2 linked regions of the Ovis aries genome follow. The protein of the gene in region 1 interacts with the protein of each later gene in a pairwise test. Links are inferred from orthologs where the notes say so. Each region holds a gene or a part of one and is shown on either strand. Other genes may lie near its edges. The genes, in order: VPS52 and DDX6.

What was found.
Region 2: the proteins of VPS52 (region 1) and DDX6 interact in binary tests that used the Homo sapiens proteins (3 or more experiments, as listed by UniProt). The two-hybrid records come from large-scale screens. The link is inferred for Ovis aries from reciprocal best matches to the Homo sapiens genes VPS52 and DDX6.

The regions. Positions count from the first base shown.
Region 1 is NC_056073.1:7,593,367-7,602,052, reverse strand, and holds the start of VPS52 (vacuolar protein sorting-associated protein 52 homolog), read left to right. Parts: upstream 1-2,986; 5' UTR 2,987-2,999; coding exon 3,000-3,089; exon of another isoform or gene 3,090-3,172; intron 3,173-3,896; coding exon 3,897-3,981; intron 3,982-4,133; coding exon 4,134-4,186; intron 4,187-4,362; coding exon 4,363-4,438; intron 4,439-4,627; exon of another isoform or gene 4,628-4,631; coding exon 4,632-4,699; intron 4,700-4,989; coding exon 4,990-5,165; intron 5,166-5,764; coding exon 5,765-5,915; intron 5,916-6,208; coding exon 6,209-6,309; intron 6,310-6,382; coding exon 6,383-6,515; intron 6,516-6,637; coding exon 6,638-6,695; intron 6,696-7,055; coding exon 7,056-7,189; intron 7,190-7,615; coding exon 7,616-7,771; intron 7,772-8,223; coding exon 8,224-8,342; intron 8,343-8,604; coding exon 8,605-8,686. Other genes in the region: RPS18 (small ribosomal subunit protein uS13), read right to left, coding at 2,022-2,120, 2,590-2,592. UniProt on the Homo sapiens protein: Acts as a component of the GARP complex that is involved in retrograde transport from early and late endosomes to the trans-Golgi network (TGN).
Region 2 is NC_056068.1:29,109,902-29,117,834, reverse strand, and holds part of DDX6 (probable ATP-dependent RNA helicase DDX6), read left to right. Parts: intron 1-4,389; coding exon 4,390-4,519; intron 4,520-5,394; coding exon 5,395-5,541; intron 5,542-7,252; coding exon 7,253-7,347; intron 7,348-7,933.

The sequences.
Region 1 (8,686 bases):
TATGTCACCATTGATACGTCAAAGTTAATTCCCCAATTAACTTTGCTCCTTTAATTTTTTGAGGAATCCCTCCTCCTACTCAGCCACCACCCCCAGCACTCCCTTCCAACTTCTAAGTATTACTTAACCCCACATTCCAAATCATTAACAAAAGACCAGGTACCTCTAAACTTTGGCTGTCTCACCAGAGAAGAGCCAGCAAAAGCTGAAACACAGCAAAACCCCAAGTAACTGTATCTCTAGAATAATCTTTCCCAGTGATAAGCAGGGCATGAGGTTCCCTAATAGATTCTTATCAAAATACTCATTAAGTACTGGAAACTGCTTTCAAAATCTGTTTTAAGGTTAAGATATATACTTAAGGTAACAAATGGGAAACTAGTTAATTTCAAAGAAGCAGAGAGAAAGGGTTTAATATAAGCATCCTATCAACCACACATCTTTTTTTTTTTTTACTTTTTTTACTATCTGACCTAAGCATTCTAGCAATCTTTAAAAACAGAAGCAACCTCAGAGATACAGCAGGTTCAGTTCCAGACCACACCCAACAACACTGAAATAAAGAGTACTCTTGCCTGGAAAATCCCACGGATGGAGGAGCCTGGAAGGCTGCAGTCCATGGAGTCACTGAGGGTCGGAGACAACTGAGGGACTTGACTTTCACTTTTCACTTTCATGCATTGGAGAAGGGAATGGCAACCCACTCCAGTGTTCTTGCCTGGAGAATCCCAGGGACGGGGGAGCCTGGTGGGCTGCCGTCTATGGGGTCGCACAGAGTCGGACATGACTGAAGTGACTTAGCAGCACATGGTATTTTGGTTTCCCAGCACATGTAGTTACATAATCTATTCAGTGAGCAACAGCCTCTTAAAATCTATACACACCTTAATCAAGACACTTTATTACTATGAAGTACTAACCATCATCTGAACTTTAAGCAAGTCTAAATCTTTTTGCAATAGTAACAAAGGTCACTGATCACAGATAAGTGTAACAAATACACCAGTAAAAACTTTTAAAGTTATTTCATCAAAATGTGACAGACACACCATGTGAGCAAATGTGGGAGAACTGTCTTAAGAGCTGCCACAAAAACACAGTATCTGCAAAGTCCCATAAAATGTGAGCCCGAACTGTATTTTTCACTGCCTTTATTAGTCTCACAGAAAAAGATGAAAAGACGAAACGTACTATTTAAAAATGAAAGCTGTGCTCCTTGAATTACAGAATTAAAAAGTAACTGTGACAAATCTCACCAAGAAAAGCTGATATTGATTTGCTGTTTTAAACAATCTATAAAATACTTATCATAGTGTCTTCTGGGGTTCTAAGAAAAGCCTATCCTTGGCTCCAAGAAGTGTAAACATACTGGCAAAAAACATTTGGTCATTTCCACAATTTTATCTTTTTAAAGGATAACATCACTATCTGGAAGGCTGGGAGTTCATTAGGTTAAGGGAGATAGCCAAGCTTGCATTCACTGACAACTATAGGCTTCTTCATACTTGTAATCTCTTGGCATTTCTACTTATCCTTCAAATGGTACAATTATGTAACTTCCCCATTCCCTAGGTGAAATCTCTTGGTTTGACCTGAGAGGACTCTTTGGCTTTTTCTCACTTACCTTTTGGGACAAATGGGGCCAGCGGTTAAGTGGACTAACTGCTCTCTTAATCATTCTTTTTTTTTTTTCAACCTAGCAGACAAGGTCATCTGGTTGGAACTCCCTCAACCTGCCTCACTTTCAGCTCAGGTGTTGACAACTCAAGTTTCATCTATAGTCTCTAGTCCTTACCCTGCGTGTCTTAGTCGCTCAGTCGTGTCTGATTCTGTGCGACCCCATGGACTGTTGCCCCACCAGGCTCCTCTGTCCATTGGAATTCTCTAGGCAAGAATTCTGGAGGAGATTCTCCAGGGGATCTTCCCAACCCCAAGGATCAAACCCTGGTCTCCCATATTGCAGACAGATTCGTTTACCATCTGAGCCACCAAGGAAGCCATCAGTCGTTACCCTACTTTACCTTAATTGCAGTGATGGCAAAGGCAATTTTCCGCCGCCCATCGATGTTGGTGTTGAGTACTCGCAAGATGTGCTGGAACTTCTCAGGAATTACTAGAGACTGATAAAGAGATTGAGAGAGAAATCAGACAGTGAACTACTATCAAACCGTAACCTCAAACACGAACGCTAAGCTTGTCACACAGGGAGCAAGAAACCCCCGTCAGGTCTTCACGACACAACAAACTCCTGAGTCCTGCAGACAGCAGGAACATGAAGTGTTCAGCCCTGGGAAAACGCAACCTCGGGGAAGAAGCGTGTCTCCTACCCTTGCCCCAAGTACACTCTGAGTGCCGGAGACACAGGTCCTCACACACGCCCAAACCGTTCTAGTGCCCGGGGAGGGACTTCCTCTGGCCCTAGTCCCCAGAACTGGATGCCTTTAGTTGTCCTTTTCCAGAAGCGGTATCCGAGGTTCCACCCAGAAAGTTGCGGGCCCTCAAGACAGGACATTTTCAACCCTCTGACAGCAAGACCTTCCCTGCCCCGGTCCCGATGTTGCTAGATCCCGGCAAGGATTGTACTCTTACCATGGCGGCGGCCCCAGCGGCGGCGTGTAGGCCTCCAGTGGAAGAGAAAACGGAAGTGACGCAACAGCCTTATATTGCTACCAGGCGGAACGGGCGGAGCTATCTGAGCAAGGAGCTTCCGGAAACTATGCAAGACTCTGAATCGGGCGGCACGACTTCCGGTCCGGGGTTTCTTTACTGTTCGTAAAGGTTTTGTGTGTGCGAACAACAAAGGTTCCGGATTGAGATTGTGCTTAAGAATTCCACTTATTTTCACTTGGGTGAAGCGGTTACAGCCGAAAGAGGAAGACTGGAGGCAAACAAATATCTGGGAGCGATTTCGCACCGTGCAAGACACGCTAGGACCTGTAGTTCCCTTCCGGGGAACAGATTCGCCTGGCTGACAGCTGCCGGAAGTGAGGCTGCGCGGAATGGCCGCCGCTGCGACCATGGCGGCAGCTGCTCGTGAGCTGGTGTTGCGGGCCGGGGCCTCAGATATGGAGGAGGAGGAGGGCCCGCTGGTGAGAAGCAGGGCTGTTTCTCCTTCAGAGTCTTGTCCAGTCGCCTCACGTCAGGAAGGCCTGGGCTGGGTGTAGGCACAAGGGTGGGTACTCGCAGCTGCCAGTAATGCTACCCAGCTTGGCTCTCCAGACGCCTCCGTGGGATCCGACCTGAACCTGAGTACGGCCGAGACTCTGGTTCTGGGGCCACAATTGCAGTTAACTTCCAGATGTTTGGGCAGAATAGAGAAGCAGTATAAAAGTCTGGGAACATGGCTTCTGCTTGGGCTTTAACTCAAGCTCTGCCGCGTATACTGTGTGTCTTCGGGCAAGTCTAACCTGCCCCTCCATGCCCTTATTTCCACACCTATAAGGTGAGAAAAGTAAGACCTGCTATATATGTTGTGGGTTAGGACTGGGTGAATGAATATATGTAAGATGGCACCTGGCAGGTAGGTAAACACTATGTATTAGCTGGTAGTTTTAAAGAGGTTGGGGCGCCCCAGAGGGATGGTGATAGAACATTTAAGGTAGCAGCAGTCTAGAGATCCTAAATTCACCTGCAAGTTCTGCTCTGCCCTCTGCATCTCCTATTTTTTCTCATTTGGTTACCTTCACCCTTCGTAGTTTGCCTGTCTCCTTGTCCCGTTCCTATCCATCAGCCCCAATTAGTTGACTGAGACAATATGGAACTTTTGACATTTTGTGAACTCAGAATGTACCTGTGATTCCCCAGTGAAAGTCCCCCTTTTCCGCTTGAAGGATTGGTGACTGTTCCATTCTATTTTGTTCTGCTTCTGTCTTTCCCATTAACCTGTTCCTCTCCAGGGGAGTGGTCCAGGTCTTCAGGAACCACTGCAGATGGGAGAGTTGGACATCACCTCTGATGAATTCATCCTGGATGAAGTGGATGGTAAGTGATGGCAAGGGGTGGGGGGTATGCGGTCCTATAACCTGAGAGGCTGGGCTCTGCAAGCACTAAGGCAGGGACTGGTGTGCGGATGTTCAGTGTAGAGACAGATCTGTAGAACTAGCTGAATCCTTATGATGAACTTCTATTTGCAGTTCACATTCAGGCGAATCTGGAGGATGAGTTAGTAAAGGAAGCTCTTAAAACGGTGAGGCTTTCCACTATACTAATCTGCCCCTCCCTGAACCCTCCCCTTAAAGGAAAGAAGAAAGTCTTTTTTGCTCCTACTATCACCCTGGTCTTTTTCTCTAGTCCTTCATTGACTGTGTTCCAGTGTCCCTTCACTGACTTCCTCCTGACCCTCTCACATTTCTGTTCTCCCAGGGTGTGGATCTTCGTCACTATTCAAAGCAGGTTGAGCTGGAGCTACAGCAGATTGAGCAGAAATCCATTCGGGATTGTATCCTCCAGCAGAGGAGAGGGGTGCTGTTATTAAAACGGGCATTTTGTGGGGGTATGGTGCTGACAGCCCAGCTGGGGCCGCCGTCTCCTCTCTGAGGTTTCTGCCACCTCAGGGAGAAATTGGAGAGGTCCTGCGGCGGTCTGAGAATCTCCATGTCCACAGTGAGGCCCCTTGACTTGTTGTGAGTCAGATATCCAAGAGAGTGAGAACATAGCATCTCTGCACAATCAGATCACAGCCTGCGATGCTGTCCTTGAGGTTAGTAACCATGCCCTGGGAGCCCTCATATCCCTGAGTGCAGATCATGGTCTTTAGCATGATTCTTTAGGCCATCTTCCTCAGGCAGGGACAGTTAGAGTCACTTTCAGGATGATCTCAGCAGCCATTTTAGTTGTTGCTGCCATGACTAACGTTGTTATTTGCCTTTGTTGCACCTCTTTCCTTATCACCCACTGCTCTCATAGTTGGGTAGATACTAGAGGCTTTACCTAGAAACTTGTCCCCTGCCAATCCTGTGGCTATTCAGCAGCCCTTCTGCCTTCTCCCAGCGCATGGAGCAGATGTTGGGAGCTTTTCAGAGCGATCTCAGCTCCATCAGCTCTGAGATCCGGACACTGCAGGAACAGTCTGGAGCCATGAACATCCGACTGCGGAACCGCCAGGCTGTCCGGGGGAAACTCGGGGAGCTTGTTGATGGTCTCGTGGTGCCCTCTGCTTTGGTCACGTGAGTCACTAGTTTGAAGGGTCCTAATGTCATAGCTAACTCATTGGAAAAGATCCTGCTGCTTGTAAAGATTGAAGGCAGAAGACAGAGGATGAGATGGTTGGATAGTATCACAGATTCAATGGATATGAACTTGGGCAAACTCCAGGAGATGGTGAGGGACCGGGAGGCCTGGCATGGTGCAGTCCATGGGGCTGCAAAGAGTTGGACACGACTGAGTGATTGAATAACAAAGGGCAACATCACAGAAAGAAGATGGGCTGGTGTGACCTACCCTACTTAACCACGTGGGTCTCCCGGCTTCAGGTTATCACACACTTTCCAGAAAACGATGAGTAGTTGACAGCTCTTTTTTACCCTGACTCGGGCTTTAAGGAGTAGGAATCGTCTGGGGTTGGGCATCGAGAAGGGGTTTAAGGTTGATGTGGGTGATGGAGGTGTGTGTGTCCAGGCACAGAAGACTCTGTGCACGCGCTCTGACCCTGTGATGCAGTGGACGAAGGGAGAGGAGACAGAAGCTGGATGCCGGGGTTACGGGTTAGAGTCTCGAGGTGTCTGGGTCTCCCTCCTCACCCGTCCCACCCCTCCCTGCTCCCCAGGGCAATTTTGGAGGCACCAGTCACAGAGCCCCGGTTCTTGGAGCAGCTACAGGAGCTGGATGCTAAGGCAGCTGCAGTCCGAGAACAGGAGGCTAGAGGCACAGCGGCCTGTGCAGATGTCCGGGGCATGCTCGACCGCCTCCGAGTCAAGGTGGGAAGTGGGGGTGGACACCCTAGAAACCACTCGAACCAGCCTCCCTTAGACCTCTACCCTGGATTGCCCTGGCAAAGCTCACTGTAGCCCACCCCCAAGAACTTCTCCTTGCCTTTATGTGGCAGGGCTCATCCTCACATCTCTGGGTTTCTCTGAAAGTCTTAACAGATATCAAAGAGGAGTTCTCTACTCTTGCTCATCCAATATCAGCTTTTGTTCCTCCCCTCAGTGCTTCCCAGGCAGTGAGAAGGCTACAGCTTCACGCCCTGTGTTTGGTCCCCCACATCTAGGCCGTGACGAAGATCCGAGAGTTCATCCTTCAGAAGATTTATTCCTTCAGAAAGCCAATGACCAACTATCAGATCCCACAGACAGCCCTGCTGAAATACAGGTCGCCACCCAGAGAAAGGGTGGGTGTCCCTGGGGGGCTGGCTGGGAGATTGACTGGTTCCTGGCTCCTCCAGGTTCTTCTATCAGTTCCTGCTGGGCAACGAACGCGCCACTGCGAAGGAAATCAGGGACGAGTATGTGGAGACGCTGAGCAAGATATACCTGTCTTATTACCGCTCCTACCTGGGGCGGCTCATGAAGGTGCAGGTAAGCCCGTGGAAGGAGAGGTGCTCTGGGCGCCTGAGCTGGGAGGAGGGACTGTATAAATGGACGCCTTTTTTTGTTGTACATTGGGAAGCAGTGTTCCAGTGTTCTATTCTCTCCTCCAGTATGAGGAAGTTGCTGAGAAGGATGACCTAATGGGCGTGGAAGATACAGCCAAGAAAGATATCCTGGAGCTGAGGGGTGCTCATGCTGGGCCTGGAGAGGGAAGGGCTTCTGGCCCCAGCCTCCAAGGCCCTGCTGCTTAACTTTTCTTGTGGGACCAACACTTTGCAAATGAGATCAAGGCAGGAGCCTCCCTCCCCAGAAAAATGCACAGATCATCCTTACACTGAGTTTTGCGTATGATGTCAGGGAGTGTAGAGGCTCCCTGGAGTCCATTCACAGATGTCAGGTGAAGTGGGGCCCCAAGACTGGGGAGGAGGGACCCCGAGGCCATGTCTGGCTGCTGGGGCCCCTGGAGGTCCTGGATCTTTGATCTTCCATCACAGTTGTGATCTGTTTCCCTTGACTCTGGCCCTTCACGATTCTTCTCAAAGCCATCCCTCCGCAGCAGGAACACCATCTTCACCCTGGGGACCCGGGGCTCTGTCATCTCTCCTGCTGAGCTGGAAGCCCCCATCCTCGTGCCCCACACTGCCCAGCGAGGGGAACAGAGGGTAGGAGGGAGAGCCAGCCTCAGCCTCGGGGTGGGGCTCTGAGCACAGAACTTGGGGCAGAGCTTCCCGGCTGCAGGCCCTGGGGGAGTCCCCATCTCCAGTTGCCCCTGCACTCTGCAATGAGAGGAGGGTTGGACCATTGACTCGGGGTGTTACAGAGGGTAATAGGTCATTAGGCGGGTGTGGTGGTAAATGCGGGAGCAGCAACAGCAGGTGGGGGTGGGCTCTTCGTGTATCCCTCCTCCCCACCCCGCCCCTGCCCTTCAGTACCTGTTCAGGAAGCCCTTTCGCAGCCTGAATGAGGGTTAGATGGGGAGGGTCTTCTGAGCTACTGGTACCCAGTTGAGCTGATGTTCCAGCTATGTCCACAGAGAGCCAGGACTGGGGTCCACCCGTCTGTGTCTCTTCCTGCCTCTCTCATCCTAGTATCCTTTCGAGGCCCTCTTCCGCAGCCAGCACTACGCCCTCCTGGACAATTCCTGCCGTGAATACCTCTTCATCTGTGAGTTCTTCGTGGTGTCCGGCCAGGCTGCCCACGACCTGTTCCACGCTGTCATGGGCCGCACTCTCAGCATGACCCAGGTGAGCTCCCTGGCTCCCGGGCTCCTCGTCAGCACTGCAGTGAGGTCACAGCCCTGGGGCACTGAAGGCAGGACCCCCTCGTTTTAGAACACATGAGCTTTATTCTCACTGTGTGCCTCCCCACAAGACCATCAAAGCTTGGGGGTCCCTGAGGACCCCCTCCTGATTCACACCCAGGCAATAGCACCTGAACACTTGGAGGCTCCTAGACCTTGGTTCCCGGCCCTGAATTCTGCTGTGATGGGCTTGTGATGATAGATTAGGTGAGCAAGGCCGCGGGACCACGTGGGTGGCTGGTGGACAGGAAAGGAGGAGCATTTTCCATTTAGATCTCTCCCTGTACCCCCAAGTGTCATGTCCCCAAAGAGCACTGCACCTGTCCATGGTCACTGGGAGTGACAAAGGAAGAGACACTTCCAACCCTCTGCCTGGTTCTAAATCCTCAACCACAGAAACACCTGGAGTCTTACCTCGTTGACTGTTACGATGCCATTGCTGTTTTCCTCTGCATCCACATCGTCCTCCGGTTCCGCAACATCACAGCCAAGCGGGACGTTCCTGCCCTGGACAGGTTGCTGAGTTGTGGTCCTTGATGCCCCGCTGTTCTTGAAGTCTTGGTCTTGCACAAGCCTGCCCGGACCCGTGGGCTCCCCCGACGTGAACTGTTGACCCTGGTCCCATTTGTCTGCTTGGAGGCAGTATTGCTGCTTCCAGACTCACCTCTCACACCCACTCCTGCCTCCACTGGTGGTCACCCCTCGATTAGGTTTCAGCCTCCCCCACCCCACCCGTGACATTCCTTGCCAGATCTCTGATTCTGATCAAGCCCACAGGTACTGGGAACAGGTGCTTGCCTTGCTGTGGCCACGGTTTGAACTGATCCTGGAGATGAACGTCCAGAGTGTCCGCAGCACT
Region 2 (7,933 bases), on another chromosome or scaffold:
CAGATACACTACAGATTGGTTCCACACATCTTTCTTTGGTACAGCCATCTGTGACTCTAGTTCTAGGTCTGAATGCTATGCACAGTAACATAACCATGCCATTTTAAAGGCATAGCTCTATAGTAACAGGCTTTTTTGGCGTACCTAGGAGTCTACTGTTTTATTCTGTTAAACATTGCAAAACCTTATATTAACTTGGAGATGATTGAAAGATGACAGCTCTTGCTATTTCCAGACTTTAGGCACAACTTTTGAGGACTTTATAGATAAGAAGGTGATGGAATAGCAGGTAGTTAATTATTGAGAGAAAAACAGAAGTTAACTTCTGTTGGCAACCAAATTTCATATCAAGTTGGGAATCTCATTATTTTGAGGAATTATTTCATTAACCAAGTCTAGTTAGTCATTTATCAAATTTATAGTTAAGAATTAGAACATTCTTAATTCTTTTGTAATTCATTCCTCCTGCTAACACGAATTTACTATGGCTAAAAGAATTGTTTTCCTAAATTCTCAAAAATGCATGTCTTCATTAGATACTGTGGTAAAACTGGAGTATATTCCTTAGGCTGGAGATAACTATTTTTGAAATTACTGTCTTCCATCTCCTTTTTTTTCTAGGGAGCAGTAGATACCTTAATCATAACTGCCTCTGCAGTATCCATTTTGTTCTCTCTGAAACCAAGATTTAAGTTCAACTGACCCTAGGAATTAAAAAGCAGTTGGTGTCTCCATTTAGCTGCGGAAGTTGGCTAGACTATCCATCAGGGACTGGAGAGAACGCAGTTCCTCAGAAAAAAGTTTAGGGTGCTACTAAGAAAGGGAAAGTGTTGGTCTTTCAGTCGTGTGAGACCTCATGGACTAGCCTGCCAGGTTCCTCTGTCCATGGAATTCTCCAAGCAAGAGCACTGGAGTGGGTAACCATTCCCTTTTCCAGGGGATCTTCCCAACCCGGGGATCGAAACCTGGTTTCCAGCACTGCAGGGAGATTCTTTACCATCTGAGCCGCCAGAGAAGCCCTGAATGCTGAAGCTGCAGCTCCAGTATTTTGGTCATCTGATGCGAACAGCCAGCTCATTGGAAAAGTCCCTGATGTTGGGAAAGCTTGAAGGCAGAAAGAGAAGGGGGTGTCAAGAGGATGAGATGGCCGGAGGCATCACCGATGCAATGGAATGAGCTCCGGCAAGCTTAGGGAGATGGTGAGGGATAGGGAGGCCTGGTGTGCTGCAGTCAGTGGGGTCACAGAGAGTCGAGCAGGACTGGGTGGCTGAACCAACAGCAAAGAAAGGGAAATGGATGCTAGGGTTATTAAAGCACAATAAATACATAGTGGCTCAGTCCCTAGACCTTACAGTGGAACTGGAACACGGACTTTGGAGAGCTAAAGTGTCAGAATCAGACATACCTTTAAGTTCGTGGGATTTTTTTTATTTTGGGTTTTTGTGTTCTGGTGGTGTTTTGTTTGCTTGTTTTTTGCCTTAGGGTATTGGTCACAGAAATACAAGTTTACACATTTTAAGTAATGCAGTTCAGTGGGTTTTTTTTTTTATTCAGTTGTGCAGCCAATTACTACAGTCAGTTTTAGAACATTTTCATCAAAAAGAAACTTAGTAGTTACCCTTCTTCTCCTTGCTCTGAAAGTGAAAGTGAAGTCACTTAGTCGTGTCCGACTCTTTGCGACCCCATGGACCGTAGCCCACCAGGCTCCTCCATCCATGGGATTCTCCAGGCAAGAATACTGGAGTGGGTTGCCATTTCCTTCTCCAGGGGATCTTCCTGATCCAGGGATCGAACCCAGGTCCCCCACATTGCGGGCAGATGCTTTAACCTCTGAGCCACCAGAACCCCTCCTCGCTCTAAGCAACCACTAATCAACTTTCTGTCTGTATGGATTGACCTAGTCTAGACAATTTCATATAAATGGGATTATAAAATACATGCTGTTTGTGACTCAGCTGTGGCTTTTTGACTTAGCATATTTTAGGATTCATCCATATTGTAGCATGTGTCAGTACTTTATTCCTTTCTATTGCTGAATAATATTCCACTGTATGGCTATACCACGTTTGGTTTATCCATTCTTCAGTTGGTAGAGTTGTTTCCACTGTTAGCTATTATGAATAATGCCTTTTTGAACACTGATGTATGTAGAATTTTTTGTGGAGGTATTTTCATTTCTCTTGGGCATATACCTAGGAGTAGAATTGCTGGTTCATGTGGTAATTTTTTATCTTTTTGAGGAACTGCCAGACTATTTCCCAAAATGGCTATATATTCTACTTAGTAGTGTATGAGGTTCCAGTTTCTCTTATTTGCAGACCTAAGTTCAAATCCTGATTCTAGCATTTCTTGCTTAATCACCTTGTGCAAAACAATATTGAGGATCCATTTTGCCATTTGTAAGACAAAAAGTAACCTAACTTGAAAGGATATAATTAACATTAAGTATCTAAGTGTAGTACCCATCACAGTAAGTTTTTAAAATTTTTAGCTTCCTTCCTCCTTCTCCCTGGCAGTTCCCCATGACTTCTCTTGAGTTTCAAAGCTGTCTGAATCTGGCTTGAATTTCCTCACTTCGGATTGTTTAATCTTCCTAGCAAACAGTGATAAGAGACAGTGAATATACTGAATTCTCTGACTGCTAATCATAATAGCCACCATATGAGACAAAGTACAGTGCATCTTACCTTACAGGCTAGCTAGCTTACTTTGTTGTAGCCCTATCCTTAAACAGTTTCTGTTTCTGTGGAACATAAGTCCTGTCAAAGAGCAGAGAAACAGAAGTCAGTGGCCTTTAAGCCATAATGTAAACCCCAAAAAGGAATTAGGATACCCCCAATCTAATTCTGTCCTGTCTGACTTCACTGAGGTATCTTATCCTTTTAAAGGACCTGACTCAGGAAGTCACTGAGAGACTAAAGTCTTTTTCTGCTGTCAAACTGAGTTGTATACTGGTAACCTGTTCAAAAACCATAATAGAGATTGAACCCATGTGATAATTGGCCTTCGGGACAACTGAAGATTAATAGAGTTGACTCAGAGTTGTGGCTCAAGGGATAAAGAATCTCCCTGCAAAGCAGGAGCTGTAGGAGACATGGATCCCTGGAGGAGGAAATGGCACCCTACTCCAGTGTTCGCGCCTGAAAAATCCTGTGGACAGAGGAGCCTGGCGGGCTACAGTCCACAGTGTCACAGAGAGTCAGACACGGCTGAGTAACACATGTGGTCAAGCAAGGAAGGATTTAAGACCAGAGGGTCAAACCAAGGCTTTCTTTGACCTGCTTCACCCTACATAATAAGCAGACTGTTCAATGCTGGCTGTCGGAGTAAATTAACAGAGTATTGTCACTGAACTATTTTCACAGTTGTTCTGGCAACAGTGTTAGTTATTCTGATTATATGGAACCCATCTGACCCCTATGATTGGGGTTCTAAAATAAGTGTCATGGTAGGAAATGAAAGTCATGATGCTTATGACTTGGGTATTTCTCCAGTAACAGTTTTAAATTGCTAGAGATATTTGTTTTGGTCATTAGCTCAAGCATAGAAAGAGCTAATTACAGTGATTGTGAATATTTTTCCTAATTTATTTTTCTAATTTTATAGTTGTAGAAATTAAAATTTTTTAGTTTTAGAAATAGAAGTGTTCTGCTTCCTCTGTTCATACCTGTTTTACCTTTTTTAATTTCTCTCTGTGTATGTATATTTAATATTTAGTAATTGTTGAGAATCCTTTGGTATTGTCTAGGAAATTTGCCCTAATAAGAAATATTATCTTCTGCAAAACACTCATGTCTGCAAAACACACGAGTAAGCCAGATTTGAAAACGAGAAGTCAGGGCACATCTCAGGACAGAAGTTGGCTGCGAGACAGACATTGGTCATTATGTAATACAATTTTAAAAAAAGATAGGACCCAAGACTAAACTTTTCCATCTGAGTCCTGTTTATGTAGAAATAAAATTGTCCAACCTACAATTTTTCACTGTGGTCAAGTTGGTTTACTAGTCTCAGAATATCATATAGTCCTTCTTTTGAATATTGTTTGTGCTGTTTTTTCTTTGTTTTTAATTGCAAAATGTCCTTCGCTTATTTTCCCCTGTGTGTTTATTGTGTCAGCCCAAGTTCCTCCTCTTTTTCTGTTGTTGATGCTCACACATACAAACTCAAAGGTTTTTATTACTAAATTTAGTGTGTATTTTATGAGTAGTTCTGATAAATGTAAGTTGATACTAATGGTGATGTTGACTGGTACTGCTAATTTATTTGGTCTTTTGTAAAATACTTCAATACCAAGGAACTTTGTATACTTTCAGTGTGTTTTAGAGAAGAACTCGCCTATGTACTGATTTTATTCACAAGTAATATGCATTGTTCCATCTCTTCTAGGAGGAGAGCATTCCCATTGCTTTATCTGGTAGGGATATTTTAGCTAGAGCAAAAAACGGAACAGGCAAGAGCGGTGCCTACCTCATTCCCTTACTTGAACGGCTAGACCTGAAGAAGGACAATATACAAGGTTGGTTTAAACTATAAATGCTGATTTAAATCTTGGAGCTGTATAGAAGATATTACCATCTTTTCTCAGTTGGAACTTAAATCATATGAAATTAGTATTTACCCTTTTCACAGCTTATGGCCTAGTTGTCTTGTAAAAATGATTCCTAACTTTTAAAAAGAGATTTCTAGTTTTTAAGGTTATTTTGCATATTTTACAGTTACTACAACATTCCAGTGAGATAGGCAAAATAAGAATTATTGTCCTGTAGATAGGGAAAATTAAATTGTCTGAAATAGATACTTAAAACTATGGAACTGGAACTAGAATGTTTCTTGTGACAGCTGTGTCTGCAGAGTTCCTTGTAAAAGCAGGAACTTTTTCTCTCTGAAGCCTTGTGGCTTGGGGATTTTAAAATCTTAAGTAGTATGGAAGAGACACATTTCCGTAACTGTACCCAGTAGATCTATGTTTTCACCTCTAAAGCTTTTTGTAAAGTTTTCAGTTTTTTTCTCCCCATGGTTTCTTGATCTATAATTATTTCTGCCATCTTCCTATTATGTTCATATGATATAAGTAGAACTGGGCAGCAGGAGTTTCCTATTTGGGCATTTTGACTAGTGATCTCTTACTAAAATACTAACAAATTTTGAGTTAATAATTGCCAACTCAAAGAACCCTTTAAGGCTTTGTAACCAGGAAGAGTAGAAGAATTGTATAGCATTGTTACTGAGGAGAAGTCTAAATCTGGTACACTATAATAGTTTCTTTTTTTGAAATTTATTCATTTGAGTGTCTTGATTACAAGGGGCAATATTTCTATAGCTTCTTAAACTCTTAAAATATGGCTTTTCCCCCCTCCTCTCTCCTTTTTTCTGTTTGTTGATATTTTCCAGCAATGGTGATTGTTCCCACTAGAGAACTTGCTCTACAGGTCAGTCAAATTTGCATCCAGGTCAGCAAACACATGGGAGGGGCCAAAGTGATGGCAACCACAGGAGGAACCAATTTACGGGATGACATAATGAGGCTTGATGATACAGGTAAGAAATGATTGGATACAAGCTGGCTTGCTGTCTGTAATTTGACACACAAGTGTTTCAGTAATTTATTAAAATTGTTTTTAAAATAGGGAACAAACATTGCAGTAGAAAAATGAATAAAGGAAATGACCATTTCAGTCAAGAAGAAAAAAATTATTTTAGTCATTGGAAGGATATTTAACCTTACTAGTAATTTTTTAAATTGCATATAAAAACAGTAAATTGATATTGTACCTATCTGATTGACAAGATTAATTAAGATTGGAAAGGCTAATTAGTAATCCAAAATCACTGCAGATGGTGATTGCAGCCATGAAATTAAAAGACGCTTACTCCTTGGAAGAAAAGTTATGACCAACCTAGATAGCATATTCAAAAGCAGAGACATTACTTTGTCGACTAAGGTCCGTCTAGTCAAGGCTATGGTTTTTCCAGTGGTCATGTATGGATGTGAGAGTTGGACTGTGAAGAAGGCTGAGCGCCGAAGAATTGATGCTTTTGTACTGTGGTGTTGGAGAAGACTCTTGAGAGTCCCTTGGATTGCAAGGAGATCCAACCAATCCATTCTGAAGGAGATCAGCCCTGGGATTTCTTTGGAAGGAATGATGCTAAAGCTGAAACTCCAATACTTTGGCCACCTCATGCTAAGAGTTGACTCATTGGAAAAGACTGATGCTGGGAGGGATTGGGGGCAGGAGAAGGGGATGACAGAGGATGAGATGGCTGGATGGCATCACTGACTCGATGGACATGAGTTTGAGTGAACTCCAGGAGTTGGTGATGGACAGGGAGGCCTGGCGTGCTGCAATTCATGGGGTCACCAAGAGTCGGACACGACTGAGTGACTGAACTGAACTGAATATGCATTTGTGAAGAAATTTGTTGTCTTGCAACATAGGGGTATAGATTGATACAATCTCTATGGTGGGCAATTTGGCATTATGTTTCAAAATTATACATGTATGTTTTTAATGATCTTTTTTTGAAGAAATGATTGGACAAATGCAAGGTTGTCCACTACAGTGTGGTTTGTAGTACCGAAAAACTGGAACAATATCAGGGAAATTTGGCTAAATATACTGGGGTATAGACTGAATGGAATGCCACATAGCCATTAAAGAGTGCAGCTGATCTGTATTCATTTTCATGAAGAGTTCTCCATGATAACATTATTTAGTGAAAAAAAGAAAACAGCAAGAGTTGAAATCCATTTAGTTATACATTGAATTTTAGTCAGGATTTTATATATGATTGTTACTTGATTAGTTTAATTACTATATTCTTTATACTGCCTTGTTAATTAAAAATGATCATCTTACTTGATCCTGTTACAGTCTTCTGCAGACCATTGATCTATTAGAGGCAAGCTGCTGTATCACGACTGAAGTGACTTAGCAGCAGCAGCTATATCAAAAGTTCGGCATACTTTTTGTTTTTCCCTGGGGGTTTCCCTCAGACAAAAAACTATGTTCCTTATTTGGAACAGGTGAATTGGAAAGCTGTAGCCCACTGCATGCAGAGGTGAAACTAACTGGTATTCTCTAGCCAACTGAAGATGAGATGGAAATCCATATTCTAAAATACATCTTGGCCTCTTTGTATTATTCCTACAGCAGTGTTTCTGATACACTATGTATGTGATAAACCTTTACTGTATCCTTTTTGCCCCAACTAAAATTAATGAAAATACATGTTTTCTAATCTTGTGTAGTGCATGTGGTGATAGCTACCCCTGGAAGAATCCTGGATCTTATCAAGAAAGGCGTAGCAAAAGTTGATCATGTCCAGATGATAGTATTGGATGAGGTAACATTTTTTTCATTTGGAAACATACCATTCTGTACTGATTTGGCTTTGTTTATAACTGCCAATGAATGAAGGATAACCTCTTTGTGTTTAAGACCTTCTAGTAAATTCATTACTCTTGTTGGTTTGTTCAAAATAACTTGCTTCTAAAACATGTTTTGCCTTTTAAAAGCAATAGGTGATAGGTGTTTATAGGAATGATTCAGCCTTGTGTCTTTTTCTTAGGGAAGTCAGATAGTTTATTTTTATTTTGCACTGAGAAGTCATTGAATAACCTCAAAGCCAAGGCCATTCTACATCTGTCTTCATTCTGTGATTGATCTTAAAAAGCATGTTAAAAAAAAGGCATCTTAAAAACCCCTCATTTAACATACTCAATTTGGTATTGTTTGGTTTTTTGTCTCTGTTATATGTGTTCTCTCACCAGACTATAAGTGCCTTTTGAGAACTTAGCTCTGCATTCTTGGGACCTAGCAAGCAAGTGTTTTATATGTATATTCAATCAGTGTTGATGTTTTGGGTTTTTAAATTTTTAATTGAAAGATAATAGCTTCACAGTGTTACATTGTTTTTGCTGTACATCAGG